2 linked regions of the Drosophila melanogaster genome follow. The protein of the gene in region 1 purifies or fractionates together with the protein of each later gene. This does not show direct contact. Each region holds a gene or a part of one and is shown on either strand. Other genes may lie near its edges.

Region 1 (7,831 bases):
GCTTTCTGAAGCGTAACTTTTAATTTATAGATTCAAGAGAGGTATCTGTAGGTAAATTCGAATTGATACACAGTACCTTAATGATAATACACTGATGTCCCATATGCATACAAAATTAAATAATCCTTTTAGGTCTAAAATTCAGCTAAAATTAATGCCCACAACCTGTGCATTTGTTTGATTAAAATGCTGAGTGTGAAGTACTACAAAATGTAAAAATTAATTAATTAAGAAAGGTAAGCAAGACTATTCTTGTAAAAAATTACCAATACCGCTGAAATTCCCATAGTGACTCAAAACTACTGAGCTTACAAAATACGTTCAGGGTTCTGAAAGTATGTACATACATACGTATGTACATATGTATGTAGATATGTCGTGTTTTAATTGCCCCTCCAAAGTGCCAATTACATTCAATGCGCGTCTTTGGGCCAGTGAAATCACCAGAACCCGCCGTGGAAATAGAAAGCGCACTTAGGCGATGTGTCTTTCCACAATGTATGCCATAATTTGTGCCACCAATGCCAGATGTTGCTGCAACGCGGGGCGCAAAGCGAATCCAACAGTAGTACGTGCCTTCGGTCGTATCTGAATGTATCCGAAAGTATCTGAAAGTATCTGAAAGATACCGTATCCAAAGTGCCAAGGAAGAGGTTTTCATGGGGTTAAAGCGCCCATGAAACTTTTGGGGATTTTATTTCGATTCGATTTGGCGCATCTGCACATCTGCACATCTGAATTTAAATGCCAGCATTCGACGACCCAAAAACTGTAGTCCGAGTTGCTCGTTTCGTAACCGCATTGATAAACCGGACTCGAACTGGAATCGCTCCGATGATCCCCCATGCTGCAGTAAAAACCTTGAATTGCCAAATCTTCGACTGCTCAACTTTTTGCTCCAGGCCGACAAATCTTGCACATGGGCGGGAGTTGGCAAACCGATGAGCGGATACTTAATATCTTCGCTTTTTCCCCGCGCTAATTGCCAGGCCAAACCTGTCGCACCGAAGTCGAGATGCCAGCGCGATTAGTTTACAAATTAATTTGCCAATTGAATTTCAGATTTAGACGTCTGGCCGGGCTTCCAAGAACCACCTCCACCTGGTTTCCACATGGGATCGGGCGAGAGTAAAAGTGTATTGTTAATTAGCCACTACACGCCGCCAACCTAAACTAGTTTCCCAGCCCGTCTGGTTTGGCCGCATCTCCGATCTCCGATAGCTGATTATATTTTCATTATTTTTTATTTCTTTCCTACTCCGATCGGAGCGGATCGATCGCATCTCCCAAGGACAGCGGCTTTTGGGTCATTGCGTGGCCGCTTAGCATATTTATGCATATATTATGTACATATATTACCGGCATGCTCCGCCGCTTGGCCGCTGGAAGCATCGGGATGACACAGTTTTCCATCCCATGGGCGTAGCTCCTCGGAAATGGCTACACCAAACCAACCCCCCCCCCTCCCCTCCCCCACCAATCACCTGTAGACCAGTTCCCAAGCAGGCAAAACTAGAAATTCTATATTGTATCAGGCATTTCATTGGATTCCTATGGATCACCATGTTTCTAATAGATATACAACATTCAATTTGTAAGATACATTTATTACATTAGTACTTGCTCTTGTTAATTTCATCATATTTTAATATTTCTAAATGATAGTTTATAAAAATGTGCTCTTATTTCAATTATACATATATAATGTATATTATCTTACCTTATTTTACCAAAAGTAATAATGCTAAATTTTTGATTTGCGGGAGTGGCGTTTAAGACATTACCTTCCAACTAATTGGGTGTGTTACTCATTACCAAGTCTTTCATCCGTCCGTCTGCATATATGCAATGTATATATAGTATAATTTAAAGATACAGATCCAGACCGAAACTACGCCCATGGCGTGTCCTCTTCAGCCTTGAAGTCTCAATTTTTGGCTGGCACTTTGGACGAAAGGACGGTCTTCCAACTCCAACTCGTCGCCAAATGGATGGTACCTGTTTGGCTGGCCTTTTGGTCGATCGATGTAAGCCATTTGCATGCGGACCATCAACCCGGCCAACTCAATTCGAGCCAACTGAATTCGGGGATCGTTGACGCATATGAATTTATTTACGTTCATTTTCGTGTGTGTGTGTGTGTTGCTTTTTTGGTCACATCGACACACTGATCGCAGGGAACGCATACCCTACTCGAACCGCATCCATCGGTCGCTCGATCGCATTTGGTTATTTGACGGTCAATACCCGGAAATGTGCAGCTGACCAGATGGCTTACAAGCTGGAATTTTGTATTTTTGCACAGGGTCAACTATTTATTACTCTATATGCCTAAGAACCACCCATTTTTAGCATATAATTTTATTTTTAAGCGAAACAATTGAATTGAAACGCTAATGGAAATCAATTTAACATCTTCTCTACCTGCATAAATGACCGCTAGATGGCTCTGCAGATCAAGATCACTAAAGAATTTGCGGCATTAAAACTGTAATTATACGATAAATAACATTGTTTTTCTTTTTTTTTAATAGCCTTTGAGTATTCTTAAGAGTTCGCTTACAAATACATAGAAGCATTTCCTAATTCTTCCAAGATTTCGATGTAATCTCCAAGTCATCTGATACAGGTGACGCCTTCAACACAGTTGATCAATGCGCGGCCTGAAGAATTCGCGTGGTGCACATTAAGCTAGGGCATCTGGCCAGCGGTTTTCCGGTCCTCGCCCCTGGACTTTCTTGTTTTTGTGCCATTACATCTCTGGCTCGCCTTTCTTCGTCGCCTTTGGAGCCCCGGCTCCATTCCATTCCCATATCCAGTCCAGCTCCAGCCGCAGCTCGTTTGGCCTGGCTCGGTTTCGTGTGGTAGTAGTAGTAGTAGTGGTGGTGGTGGTGGTGGTGATGGTAGTGGCAGTGGCAGTGGCGGGGGCGGTAGTGGCCCCGCCCATTGGCATCACTCTGCCGCAGCCGACGGCGTCGTCGCGTCGTCGGCGACGTCGAGCAGAGCCGGTAAAAAGTCTTGAAAAGTGCGCCTCTTTGGCGTTCCGTTGTTAGTTTAGTTTAACCATCGCAGCGCTTGAGTCGCGATTAGTTGCTCAAGTATCCAGTTGCCAGGATCGTTGCTCTGCTTTTTTTTTCTCAGACCCCGAGTCCAAAATGAAGTTATTTTTATGTGCCATTGCTGTGACCCTGTGTGTGGCGACAAGTGAGTGTGAATCAATGGATCCGTGGGAATGGATCAATGGATCGTTCAATGGATCAGTGGTGCCCAGTTCAAGTGACTGACGACTGACTGGCCAGTGCCAGCCCATCCGCCAAGTCAGAGTCGCAAATTGTTGCTAATTACTTTGACACTGACACCGAAATCAAGACTCGATCTCGATCTGCTGCCGCTGTGTGTTTTGGCCAGCTAAGTAGCTAAGTAGCTAAGAGCTAAGAGCCATAAGTAGCTAATCATATTTAGCCGTCTCGCAAGACTGGGCCTCAGACGCAAATGTTGAATCTGGTCGCGATTGCGGATCTACAGGCCACATGCAGATCGAGATGGAGGGCCGTTTTCCGTCTGGAAAAACTGGAATGCTGGCCAAGCCCAAGATGCTGTCTGGCTGTCTGGGCCGCTGGGGTTATGCAACTCATGCAGTTTGTTGGCCAAGTGGAAAACGGCTCTTCTGGGCCGCAAGAGAAGTGCATTGAACCCGGACCGAACGTCGTAATCTTGGCATTATGCTGAGTATGAAGCCTTCTCTGACATTTAAATTTCGACATTTCGAATCACTTACCGGTGTGTTACGGAAATCCAAAGAATTCGCGTAGTTTGAATTCCCAATTTCGGTTGTAGAAGATATTGTCAGCATAGCGAATGCAAAGGTGTATAGAAGTATGCAGTGATTTTCGCATTGTATACATTTTTTATAGCTATCCTTTAGGCGCCCAAGTAAGAGATTTCACATTGGTTGAGTAAATAGTACTAACCTATATCTAGCTTACCGAAGTCAGTGGGATTCTGGTCAAATGTATCAAGCGATAGCAACCTGTTCCAATGGAAAACCACTGATCATTTCTTGGGCCACCGGGAGTGGTGGCAACCAGGAAACCGCAAATGCGGAATTGCCATCGGTAATCGAACGTCGTTCGATCTGTTACACTTTCGAGTGCGACTGGGGGTCGCCAGGAAAGTGAAAGTGGGAAAACCAGTTGACTGAAGTGCTTGTTTCTTTCCTTTGTTTTACCCCAACACCAGCCGTGTCCGCCGCCAACTTCGAGTGCCCGAAGCCCAATGGCCAGTTCGCCGATGAGGTGCAGTGCGACAAGTTCTACGTCTGCGACGACGGAGTGGCCAAGGCGAAGCTCTGTCCCGATGGCCTGGTCTTCGATCCACTCAACCGCAAGTTCAACAAGTGCGACCAGCCCTTCAATGTGGACTGCGAGGACCGCACTGAGCTCCGTAAGTAGCCCATCCCATCACCATTTCTATTTCTAGGCTATTGTTACCGACCCCTTGGGAATGGTCACGAAAACTATGTCAAGGCAGAGCGCTAAACAGGTTATTCCAATTACATCATTACATCACCATTAACTATGTAGGGAGTTAAATTTAAATTCGCCTCTTAAGTTCAAATTTAGCTTACTAATGAAAGCATCAGTTGAAAGGATGAATTTGTAGCATACTTTTGGACATCTCTATATTTAAAGCAAATACACCACTACAATGAGCTATCCAAAAGTTATGTAGTTGTGTAGCTCCTTTGGTAGACGGAGGAACTAACCCTGTTCGGTTTCCCCTTCACAGAGGAGCCGAAGTCCAGCAAGTACTGCCCGCGCAAGAACGGCTTCTTCGCGCATCCCGATCCCGCCGTGTGCAACATCTTCTACAACTGCATCGAAGGCGACGCCCTGGAGACCAAGTGCACCGTCGGCCTCCACTTCGACGAGTACTCGGGCACCTGCGTGTGGCCGGATACCGCTAAGCGCGAGGGCTGCAATCCGGAGCAGAGTAAGTGGACCGATTGAGTCGCCGTGCGGCGGAGTGGGCTAATGGTCTGGCATGTGGTGTGTACTTTCAGGAACCTCCGAGACCGGCTTCGTGTGCCCCAAGGATCAGCCAAAGACCGACGATCGCGGCCAGGTGGTGACCCACCCCAAGTATCCGCATCCCACCGACTGCCAGAAGTTCTACGTGTGCCTGAACGGCGAGGATCCCAGGGATCTGGGCTGCCAGCTGGGCGAGGTCTACAACGATGCCACCGAGATGTGCGATGCTCCCGAGAATGTGCCCGGCTGCGAGGACTGGTACAAGGATGTGGACGACAAGAAGGACTAAGCCACTTCCGGTCGCTTCTACTTCTCCTCATCACATCCACACTCACAACTCATGCACATGCACACGCACACACAAGCACACTGAAAGAAATTATCAATCAAATCAAATCGAAACAATTCGAAACAAATCAACACACAGATTCGCGTCTTAGTCACTTAAATTTAGTAGTTCTAGCCCATTTCCTATAGAGCGTATGTGTAGCAGTTAAACTTCAATACTCTGACCTATCTATTTCTTAACTATCTTTCTCTATATCTGACTACTTCTAACTACTTTTCTAACTACCCAAATCTCCATTTCTGTGCCCAACCAAACGCTGCCAAATTGTTGTGTATATATTTCCCGCTTTCAGACTTTCGCCTTATTATTATACAAAAAGAATAAACTGAATTTTTTATAAACTATCTATATCTATCTATCTACTATAAACTATCTTCCCAATCCCAAGACTACTACTATTCCATATACTGTTTCAGCTATCCTATGTGATCTTCGCCTAAAATTTCAATTTCCCTCATCTCTACGTTACTCTACTTAACTTCTTATCATATTCCAAAACCAATTTTCTGTCTATAAGGAAACCCACTCTTTACAAACTTTTGTCCTCCTAAAATTTTCAAACTTGAATCTTTTCCGTTCTCTTTTCTTGATTTCTTTCTTTCTATCTTTAAAATTTCAATTTAGTTCGTGTTTTATTGTTTTGCGAACTGTTACGCTACAGTTTATTATTCCTAAAATGCTCCTTTTTTAAGCATTTCAATCCTGTAATCTTGTATTTCACTTCTACCTCAAGTTTCAAATCTAAATCTTTTCTATACATTCTATCTTCCTCATAAATATTTCCTTGTATTTCGATTATACCTACTGTATAAATACTCTTTTAGACTATGCTATATGTTATTTATTAATAAACATCTTGACTTGCCTGCAAAATCCAAACGATAAGAAATTTTCACGTACCTTATTTAAGTAATCATTCAACCGACTGTAAACCCATGACACCCAAACTCACTTCCCATTCTCCGATCTTTCTCGAATTAAAAAAAACTATGTATTTCGAATCTATACAAAACTAGTGTGCATCTCGTGGGGAAATAGCAAAAAAAGGGAGGGGGGGGGGGGGGGGTTGAGTGGTCGATTGACCAATCAATCAAACCTTTCACTCCACACGCAATATCGGATAATCGCCGTGGACGGGCGGGATCGGTGCATCCATTATCCATCATAGCCCTTTGTCCCTCCATCGGTTGCAAAGAGTCTTTAATTGGCCGAGTGGCCAAGCGGACCGCACATTTACACATGTAAATGAACACAAAAAGCAGGCAAGAGTGCTTATGCAATCGCCGCAGCACGAGCAAAGCAAAGCAAAAGCAAAAGTTTTGCAATAGTTAACAATGTAACGGCAATCGGCAAACGGGGCCCAATCATGAATGAAGCTTATGGTCTGCGCGAGCTTTGCCTTTTACTTTCAATCACACATGTTGCCAGAGAAGCTCGATTTCCGCCTTGGCGTGTTTTTCTTTTTCAAGCCAGGAAATGGACCCGAACTAGCTAGGAAACTAGCTAAATCATTGGCAGTGTGGAGCGAAAGCGACCTTGTGCACAGCGTGGATGCTGGATGCATCCTTTTAGATAGCGTTCTAAGTTTTATCTGATTTTATGCAGTGTTTCCACTGTTTGTGGATAACCTAAATTTCAGCTGAATTCGCCATAGCTCGACAATCTTGCAACTGGGAATCAGTAGAAGCTAAAGTACATTTCGCTGTACTATAGAAGTTTATTCTTCATTTCGCTGTACTATAGAAGTTTATTCTTCATTGCATACAACATTATAAGAGATGTAGAAGCACTAGAGATTTCTGCAATGGGATGCGATTGATATGAAACTTTGTATTCCGAATACCACCGAACTGTAAGTCCTCAGATCGAAAATAAATCCCATAAATTCCGTCTGTTATAGGCTCTCAAGTTGGGAAGATGTGGCGAGAAAATGGATTCGAGCGATATAACATTTGGTATATGGTTTGGTATCAAACATATATTCCCAAATTGCGGCTGTTATGTGCAATTAAGAGCGTAAGATGTGGCTGGAATCTGGATGGATTGGCAGCACTGGCAATCCCAAATCCCGTTTTGCATTAAACACCAGCCAGCAACAATGCAACAATGCAACAATGCAACAACAATGCCAGCTGTGACAACACACAGCACCACCCACCGCCCACCTTTGCCGCCCCCAAAAAAAAAATCAAAGGCAAAGCGGTATCGAAAAAAAAAACGAAAAAAGCGAAGTTTTGCAAAACTGTGGTGTCGTTTGTGTGGTTTTTTGTTTTTGATTCGGTTTGGTTTCAGTTATGTTCGGTTTTTCGACCACGTTTCTACTGTATTTTGCCTTTTTTTTGTTTTTTTGTTTTTTTTTTGGCTCTTTGGCTTTGCTGGCGAGTCAACGCTGCGCAGTCGCAGCTCGGCCGCTTCTTCTTCTTCTTCTTGGAGCGCGGTACAAATCTTTTCA
Region 2 (9,716 bases), on another chromosome or scaffold:
AAACTAATCGCGAAATCGAGCGGCTGGTTTTAGATAAACGACGCCTACGAAGGGATTGGCAGTCTAATAGATCACCAATTACTAAGCACATGCTTAAGATAGCCACACGCAGGCTTACCAATGCTCTCAAACAAGAGGAAAAAAACAGCCAACGTTCATATATCGAGCAACTCTCTCCCACCAGCACTAAGTACCCTCTTTGGAGAGCTCACAGAAACCTAAAGACTCCAATAGCGCCAATTATGCCACTACGAAGTCCCTCTGGCACCTGGTTTCGAAGTGATGAAGAAAGAGCCAGTGCTTTCGCTGACCATTTACAAAATGTATTCCGACCAAACCCCTCTACCAACACATTTATTCTCCCTCCTTTAATAGCAGCCAATCTAGATCCTCAAGAACCCTTTGAATTCCGACCATGTGAACTAGCAAAGGTTATCAAAGAGCAACTGAACCCAAGAAAATCGCCTGGCTACGACCTAATAACTCCAAGAATGCTCATTGAACTCCCAAAGTGTGCTATTCTTCACATCTGCCTGTTGTTCAACGCAATCGCCAAGCTTGGATACTTCCCTCAAAAATGGAAAAAGTCGACCATAGTAATGATTCCAAAGCCAGGAAAAGATAAAACGCAGCCATCATCATATAGACCGATAAGCTTACTAACATGTCTTTCAAAGCTGTTTGAAAAAATGCTACTCCTTCGGATTAGCCCTCATCTTAGAATAAACAACACACTTCCAACACATCAATTTGGCTTTAGAGAAAAACATGGAACCATCGAACAGGTCAACCGAATCACGTCAGAAATTCGTACTGCTTTTGAACATCGAGAATACTGCACAGCCATTTTTCTAGACGTCGCGCAGGCATTTGACAGAGTGTGGCTCGATGGACTTTTGTTTAAAATAATCAAGCTGTTGCCCCAAAACACACATAAGCTACTGAAGTCATACCTATATAACAGAGTGTTTGCAATAAGATGCGATACAAGCACTTCACGCGATTGCGCAATCGAAGCTGGAGTGCCGCAAGGCAGTGTACTGGGTCCAATCTTATACACCCTGTATACGGCGGATTTCCCCATAGACTACAATCTAACAACCTCCACGTTCGCTGATGATACCGCGATACTCAGTCGCTCGAAATGCCCAATAAAAGCCACGGCACTCCTATCCCGACACTTAACATCTGTAGAACGATGGCTTGCCGACTGGAGAATTTCAATAAATGTTCAAAAATGCAAGCAGGTTACCTTTACCTTAAACAAACAAACATGCCCACCACTGGTCTTGAATAACATATGCATTCCACAAGCCGACGAGGTAACATATCTGGGAGTTCATCTGGACAGGCGGCTCACTTGGCGCAAACATATAGAAGCCAAATCGAAACATCTTAAACTTAAAGCAAGGAACCTCCACTGGCTCATAAATGCTCGCTCTCCACTTAGTCTGGAGTTCAAAGCTCTTCTATACAACTCCGTCTTAAAACCTATCTGGACTTACGGCTCCGAGCTGTGGGGCAACGCATCCAGAAGTAACATAGACATTATTCAGCGAGCACAGTCAAGAATTCTGAGAATTATCACTGGAGCGCCGTGGTACCTTCGGAACGAAAACATACACAGAGACCTAAAAATCAAATTAGTAATCGAAGTAATAGCTGAGAAAAAAACGAAGTATAACGAAAAGCTGACCACCCATACAAATCCCCTCGCAAGAAAACTAATCCGAGTATGCAGTCAAAGCCGGCTGCACCGCAACGACCTCCCAGCCCAGCAATAAACTTATTAGGGCATTAATGAAAAAAAAAAACTATCACTAAGTGAAAGTTAATTAAGTTAGATTAAGATTTGAACACTTATTGTTAGTCTCTTAACACAAAGGGAAGATTCAATAAATAATAAAAATTAAAAAAAAAAAAAAAAAAAAAGAAATTTGCACTTTACTCATCTTGAGCCAAGTAGAAAAGATTTGACACAACGTACAAGTATACAAATTCGTATCAATCATACGCACTGTGGACTATTATTTAACTAGTTACCCTAGTGAATTTAAATACCCGAAGTTTGGAAGATACCAAAACAAAAGTACGTGGATACGTGTATGTGGGATGATAAAAAATGCATTTTTGGCAAGTGTGTGTGTGTGTGTTTAGCTGTTTGGGCACGCCCAAGTGGATCGTTTGGCCTGACACACATCCGACACCCTGCCCAAAATGGCGAGGGCTAGTCCCTAGAGTTCGTTGCCAATCGAGAGACACCGCAGACGTTCTGGAATCCGCCATTACGGCCAGTGCATAGGTGCCATTTGCCAGGCACTCCAAACTTCGCACACTTGCAGTCCACAAGCACGGCGGCTACACTTCTCACCTCACCGCAGTTCGAAGTCGATAGCCGCCACCATTTTGCATATAAAAGAGTGATCGCGTACGTGCCGCACTTCTCTCGTCTTTTCAACCACGATCCGGTCACGATCGGACCCAGACTTGTGCAACACGAACACTCACAGAGCTATTCCGGCCCAAAAGCCAATTGGCCAGAAAGCCAGAAAGGCAGAAAAGCAGAAAGCCAAACAGCCAAAAAGCCGGGCTTGCCAGTGATCAGCGATCGGCGATCGGCAATCAGTGGCTCAAAGCTTTTGTGGATCGCATTGGGCACTACCCCAGCAGAGCTTTCCAAAACCCACCACAGGTGCTCGAAAGAGACGTCGCCGCCGCCGCCGTGTAATAAAAGAAGCAATTTTGACTTCGTCTGGGGCTTTGGTGTCAGAGAGGGGTTCGAGAAATTGTGCGCGGCATCGTAGCAAACAGTGTAAATGGAGCTTTGATAGCGATCGGAAGGACAAGACTAGAGCTCCAAGAAGTGTTTTTTTACCCAAAGTGTGTTTGCCAGGAAAAAAGAAACATCGATATAAGACTCTAAAAAAGTGTGCAGCTAATACCAGCGATCGATCCAATCCCAACAGGTCCACCTAAAGATGGCAAAACTGTTTGTGGTTTTTGCCGTTTTGGCTCTGGCGGCCTTTAACGAAGGTAAGGTCTCCAATGAAACGCACATATTTTATGCCTCGCCGTAGTCATAAGTTTTAATTATCGAACTGCAATTTGCATTTGGCTGGCGGAAGTTGTTGCCAAGACATCAATTAAAACTGCTCGACGGCCTTCACAGAGAAACGGAAACAAGAAGGCTGGCAATTGAAAAGCCGTTTTCGAGATGCAGATGTGAGTGGAGTGGCGTGGCGTGTCGTAACCTTGATTATGCGAAAAGGACTCGTCCGGCTGTGACTAGTTGGTAAACAACTTTCGTTTTCCGAAGGGACAAACGATTGTTTACCTTGAGTCGCGTAGAAACCCATTCAGCTTGACACTTGAGCTCTGTGAATGCAGTTCTCTGAAACTCAATACGAATCTCAATCCGAGACCACTTGACTTTGACAGGCCATCGATCATGATTAGAGTCGCAGCATAAACATCGCCGTGTTGCTGTCCGTCAATTAACGGTTATGCAAATGCGGCAACTCCCTCGACTTCAAAAAATTCAAATTTAAACTGAGATTCAAATCCGAATCCGATTGCGATTTGAAAAATGCGCGACAAGTCGGCTGTTGCCAAGCGTCGCGAGATGCAAAATGTCAAAGTTAGAGCGCAGGCGCAGCAGCGAGTTTCTAAATTCGCTTTTCAGATTTCGGTTTTTATTTTTGCACCGACATTTATTTGTGTTTCTGCGCTCGGTTCTCTGGTGACATCGTATTTCATAATGCCAAACGTGTTTTTTTTTTTCGGCCAACACACCAAGCAACCAACCAGCCCGACCGCATGCCATGTCTATTTAGCCCGGCCAAATCCACTCGTATCTGTATCTCTGCAGCTGTAGCTGTATCTGTGTTTTTGTAACAGGAAGTGCCAGGCCATGGCGACATGGAACCAACCCAACCCAATCCAAGCCAACTCAATCCACACCCAACCCACATTCGCCGTGGAAATTCTTCCGGTTTTGCAACTCCAACTGCAATTGCATCCATTTATATTTCCATTTCCCTCGTTTCGACTTGCAGCCAGTGCCAGCGATCCGCTCCTGCGATACAAGCGACAGGCCACCACCGAGGAGACCAAGAAGGAGGAGTCCTTCGAGAAGGAGCTGTGCAAGGACAAGGACGCCGGCGAGTGGTTCCGCCTGGTGGCCGGCGAGGGCGACAATTGCCGCGACGTCATCCAATGTACCTCATCGGTAAGTTACAAACTATCTATAGTTGTTTGTAAATATAATTGTAGATACATGGAATGAAAGCTTATTAACATCACTTTTCATGAGGGATTACCATGTCTATCAATACAATATATCTTCATAAAATATACTTAATATTATTACTTTGTATTTATTTATTTTTAAACAGGGCCTGCAAGCCATCCGTTGCCCTGCTGGTCTGTACTTCGATATCGAGAAGCAGACTTGCGACTGGAAGGAGTCGGTGAAGAACTGCAAGTCCAAGAACAAGGAGCGCCGCGTGAAGCCCCTGCTCCATACGGATGAGCCCCTGTGCCAGGACGGATTCCTCGCCTGCGGCGATGGAAACTGCATTGAGCGCGGACTCTTCTGCAACGGCGAGAAGGATTGCTCGGATGGATCCGATGAGAACACCTGTGGTGAGTACTTTGAATAAATATTTTGTTTTTAAGGATTGCCTTAGGTTTTTAATAGCTTTTGGCACACCTTAGTCGAAGCACTTAACAGAAGTAATAAAAAGTGTAATTAGTATGCATTAGCCATTTTATGCATGATTTATAAAAAAATCCAAAAACTTAAATTGCAATAATTAGACATTAGGCCAACTATGGCCAAGGACCAATAAAATGGAATTACCAAAAATAATTGCCTCAATATTGGGGATAATGCGGGCTCGCTCCACTTTTTTTTTGTGAGCACTTTTTCATTTAAGTTTGACATTTGACAACAATAATTCAGTGTGATTCAGCAGAAATTGAGGAGGGCGTCAATAGAAGTAAGCCGCCGCCAAGTGTTGTTTATAGGATTGGCTTTCCCAAAAGCCCGAGGTTGAGTGCTATTACTCCATCGGCTCAAATGATATATGTAAGCCTTCAAGTGGCTCGTGATATGGGTGCACACTTTGTCAGATAATATGCCAATAGCATAAATAATTGATCTTATGTTTCCTTTCTTGATACATCCAAATCCGAATCCGAATCCAATATCTTTCTCTGGTCGAAATTTCTTTAGTTACTCCAGTCGCACCTTAAAACCGGTTGACGGCATTTAGGCATTACCTCAGCGAAGGAGGAACACTTCAAACTCCACTCTCGAAAGCACTGACACAACGGCACACAAGTGTCTGAATTTCGTGTTTCTTTCGGTTTTTGGAATTTGGAAGGGGTTTGGGGATTCCAATGACGGCCACATGCAATGGAACCCCGTCTGCAGCACAGATCCCACGAACCGGTTTCGCAAAGCCCTTTAGCTCCATCGTATCTCGGAGCCAGCTGAACCGCCGCACTCAGCTCGACGGGATCAGCTCCGATCTCGAATGGACAGCGATCTTTGGGTGGAAATGTCAAGTGTGAAGTGGAAACGAAATGTCAGACACGGCTGGTGGCCAGCTGGCTAAAACAGAGGGGGTTGGGGGAATTAAGGCAGTCATGTATGGAAAACATTAAATCATTAATTAGCAACATCGTAATAGCGCTAACCTTGGACTTAATAGAAATCAAATCGAAGCAAAACAAAATGCCGCTCCATAGGTGGTTTCGATTCATGTGTAAATTAGCCTTACATAAGCGGCTTAAGAGCCACGGTTATTTTTAGCAATTGCAGAAAGCCGCAAAAGCCGAGCCAAAAGCGGGCGAAAAATAAACACACAGTCATAAGCACCAAATAATAATACACTATAATAACAAAAGTAACCAAAGATTGATACAGCAGACCGCGCAAAATCGCAACTAATTCATAAAAATACTAATAACATGCCCAAACAGTGAGTGCCATAAGTTTACGCTCACTTCGTTCTTCTTGCACGAACGACATTTCTCAAGTGGCTAACCTGGCATATAAAGGCTGCCTCAACAAGCCAATTAAGTGCCAAATAAATCTGGCTAACTAGCTTCTGCTTCTGCTAGATTCACCACCTGCGATTGCGATCCGTAATGTATATATCTATCTATCTATCTATAAAATGCGAAAATTTGCACTTCTGCCTGACTTTTGAAATGCCCAGCCGAGCAGAAAGCCATGCCCGCGATCGCAAACAATTGAATAACTCCAGTCCAAGTTTAGACCACTTCGCCTTTGGGCCCAATGAGGAAGCTCACGTCTCCGGGAGGCGAAGCAAATGGCAGGCGATTAAAAGAGCGATTAACTGGTCATACATCGTAGTTTTAAAAAGAGCGACAAAGTAACGAGGAAAGTGCTCCGAAAAAATGTTGCCAAATAGTGTAGTTTTACTTGGGCAATAGCCATAAAGCCTATAACTCCACCACATGTGTATTCTCTTCAAGAGAATCCCATGTTTTTAGCTAACTTCAGATTAAAAGTGCATATGAGAATTGGCAACAAATGAGAATGACTTGTGCAAAATGATAAACTAATATCAAATCGATTCGAAAAGAAGTGTTCCAAGAATTCAATCAACACTTTTGATTAATGAATAGATTCAGCTACACATTACCGATTCTCGGAAGTACGTTAAGATCCCACCGAATTTAGCCAAAAACAAAATTCCCCACAATTATTTCTCGGCCACAATTCATCCCAATCTTGGCAAGCTCCTCTTCGGCAATAATGAGCCAGCTCACATACATTCGGCAATCTCCGCGGCAATCTCTGCAAAAATAAATAAAATGAGCAAAAGCCAAAAGCCCTAAAAAGTCAATAATGCCGGTGGATCTGGTGAATACCGAGTGAATACCGAATGCTGAATGCTGAATGCTGCTGAACCGGTCCGGGATGACATAACAGCCGTCTTTAACGACAGATTATTGGCCAATATTGGCAGAAAGGAGGGGAATGAAAGCGGAGCCACGGCGCAAAAAGGTCAACAAAGAGACAAAGCCGGCAAAATGGAAAACACGCAAAAAAAAAAACGAGTGAAAAACTTGATGGACAAAATGCTTTGGCCTTTACATGCCGTGCCTGCCATTTCACTTTGGCCAATACCAATACCAATTCCAAATGCCAAATGAGACAGCGGCAACAATAATTGCGGCTAATATCTTTGGAAACTTTCGCAATTGATTCCGTTTGACGAGCCGGCAAGTGCAAGGCTTACCAATTGGTAATTGAGTGGACCATCATTTGCATTTGGCCCGATAATCGAGCGCCATATTTTCGGGATGGGTGTGGTGTGGCTAATAAGCGAACGCTATCTGCATTTCAAAGCGGCTTCGCTTGATTAACAACACTTGAAAATTGCTCAAAACAAAGCCAAGAAAAATCCCAATAATAATAATAATGAAAGAAACATATGCCGATGAAAAACTCGCATTGTGCAGACATTTTCCATTCACTTTGCGTTTCGGTTTTCCCACCTCTCTTGATTGCTTTTCCAGACCACTTCGGTTCATTGAACCAACCCCGTACCCCCTGCCCGCCAAGCTTTATCCCCTCACCGTTGGCTAATTGCTTAAATATTTATATGAAAAGTTAAGTGAACTTTTGCCGGCCAGGTGAATGCAGGCAGAATATCAATTGTTGATTGGTTATTTGATGGGAAAAGATGACAGGCTGTTTATTGTAATGAATTTGTATTTTACAGGGTATCGATTATCTCTAGTTATATCCCTACATATATCTCTTGCTTACTTATTTTAAGAATGTGCTTTACACACCCCATTTATATGCAAGACTTCTCCTTCAATTCACTTCAGTTTGAGGAATCTTTCGTAATGTACCTTATGATTTCCTCGTCCTAACCCCATAATTTGTACCATTTTGCCCCGCCCACAGATATCGACAACGATCCCAACCGTGCCCCGCCCTGCGATCCCGCCGTGTGCGTCCTGCCCGATTGCTTCTGCTCGGAGGATGGTACATCGATTCCCGGCGACCTGCCCGCCAAGGATGTGCCCATGATGATCACCATCACGTTCGACGACGCCATCAACAACAACAACATCGAGCTGTACAAGGAGATCTTCAAGGATCGCAAGAACCCCAACGGCTGCTCCATCAAGGCCACCTACTTCGTGTCGCACAAGTACACCAACTACTCGGCGGTGCAGGAGACGGCACGCAAAGGACACGAGATCGCAGTGCACTCGATCACGCACAACGACGAGGAGCGCTTCTGGTCGAACGCCACCGTGGACGACTGGGCCAAGGAGATGGCCGGCATGAGGATCATTACGGAGAAGTTCGCCAACATTACGGATAACTCGGTGGTGGGCGTGCGTGCTCCCTACCTGCGCGTGGGCGGCAACAACCAGTTCACCATGATGGAGGAGCAGGCCTTCCTGTACGACTCCACCATCACCGCTCCGCTGTCGAACCCGCCACTATGGCCCTACACCATGTACTTCCGGATGCCCCACCGCTGCCACGGCAACCTGCAGAGCTGCCCCACCCGATCCCACGCCGTGTGGGAGATGGTGATGAACGAGCTGGACCGTCGCGAGGATCCCGTCAACGATGAGTACCTGCCCGGCTGCGCCATGGTGGACTCCTGCTCGAACATCCTGACCGGTGACCAGTTCTACAACTTCCTGAACCACAACTTCGACCGTCACTACGACCAGAACCGCGCTCCCCTGGGTCTGTACTTCCACGCCGCCTGGCTGAAGAACAATCCCGAGTTCCTCGACGCCTTCCTCTACTGGATCGACGAGATCCTGGCCAACCACAACGACGTGTACTTCGTGACCATGACCCAGGTGATCCAGTGGATGCAGAATCCACGCACCATCAGCGAGGTCAAGAACTTTGAGCCCTGGAGGGAGAAGTGCGTGGTCGAGGGCAAGCCCGCCTGCTGGGTGCCCAACACCTGCAAGCTGACCTCCAAGGAGGTTCCCGGGGAGACCATCAACCTGCAGACCTGCGTCCGATGCCCCAACAACTACCCATGGGTCAGCGATCCCACTGGCGATGGTTTCTTCTAAGTCAGCGATCTTAGCCCCATGCCCCCCTTGAGCCCCGAGCTCTAACCCAAACTCTAACCCAAACTTAACCCATACCTATCACACACCAAACCCTAAGCCCTAGCCCAACACAAACTCGATCGATTATCGCCCATTTGAATTTGAATTGCAAGACTTTTACGAGTGCACTCGTACTCTCTATTTGACTGATTTCGAGGATCAAGTCTTTGCTGTGTTACGGTTATGTTAAATCAAAAATGAAATGAAATTCGACATGAAGACAAAACAAAAGATATTCAAAACTGCAAGCCACAACATCCGAACTTGTGTTTACACTCTTTTTTGTAGTTTTACGTTAATTTGTATGTGTATATTTAAATAAAAGAAAAAAAATGAAATAAACGAAAAAACCACAAAAAATCAAGAAAAACCAAATACTGAATTTTTAATGCCGCCTGTCGTTTGTTTCAACCAGTCAAAATAACATTAAGTATTTAGTTACCAGCTAGCAACAGAAATATGATTTCTAAGAAGCCAAGAGAGGAGTAAAACATTGACAGCCCCGGCCCATTTAGTATGCCATCTACCCACTGACTTACTAACCAGTTTCTTCGGAATTAACGAATTTGAATAAC

The links. Proteins that work in one complex are often made in the same cells at the same time.
Region 2: the proteins of obst-A (region 1) and serp purify together in Drosophila melanogaster (affinity purification with western blotting, with the first as the bait; one study listed by BioGRID). This does not show direct contact.

The regions. Positions count from the first base shown.
Region 1 is NC_004354.4:20,236,823-20,244,653, forward strand, and holds obst-A (obstructor-A), read left to right. Parts: upstream 1-3,032; 5' UTR 3,033-3,155; coding exon 3,156-3,204; intron 3,205-4,239; coding exon 4,240-4,443; intron 4,444-4,788; coding exon 4,789-4,992; intron 4,993-5,062; coding exon 5,063-5,319; 3' UTR 5,320-6,387; downstream 6,388-7,831.
Region 2 is NT_037436.4:19,700,737-19,710,452, reverse strand, and holds serp (serpentine), read left to right. Parts: upstream 1-2,437; 5' UTR 2,438-2,978; coding exon 2,979-3,033; intron 3,034-4,055; coding exon 4,056-4,228; intron 4,229-4,394; coding exon 4,395-4,644; intron 4,645-7,954; coding exon 7,955-9,102; 3' UTR 9,103-9,476; downstream 9,477-9,716.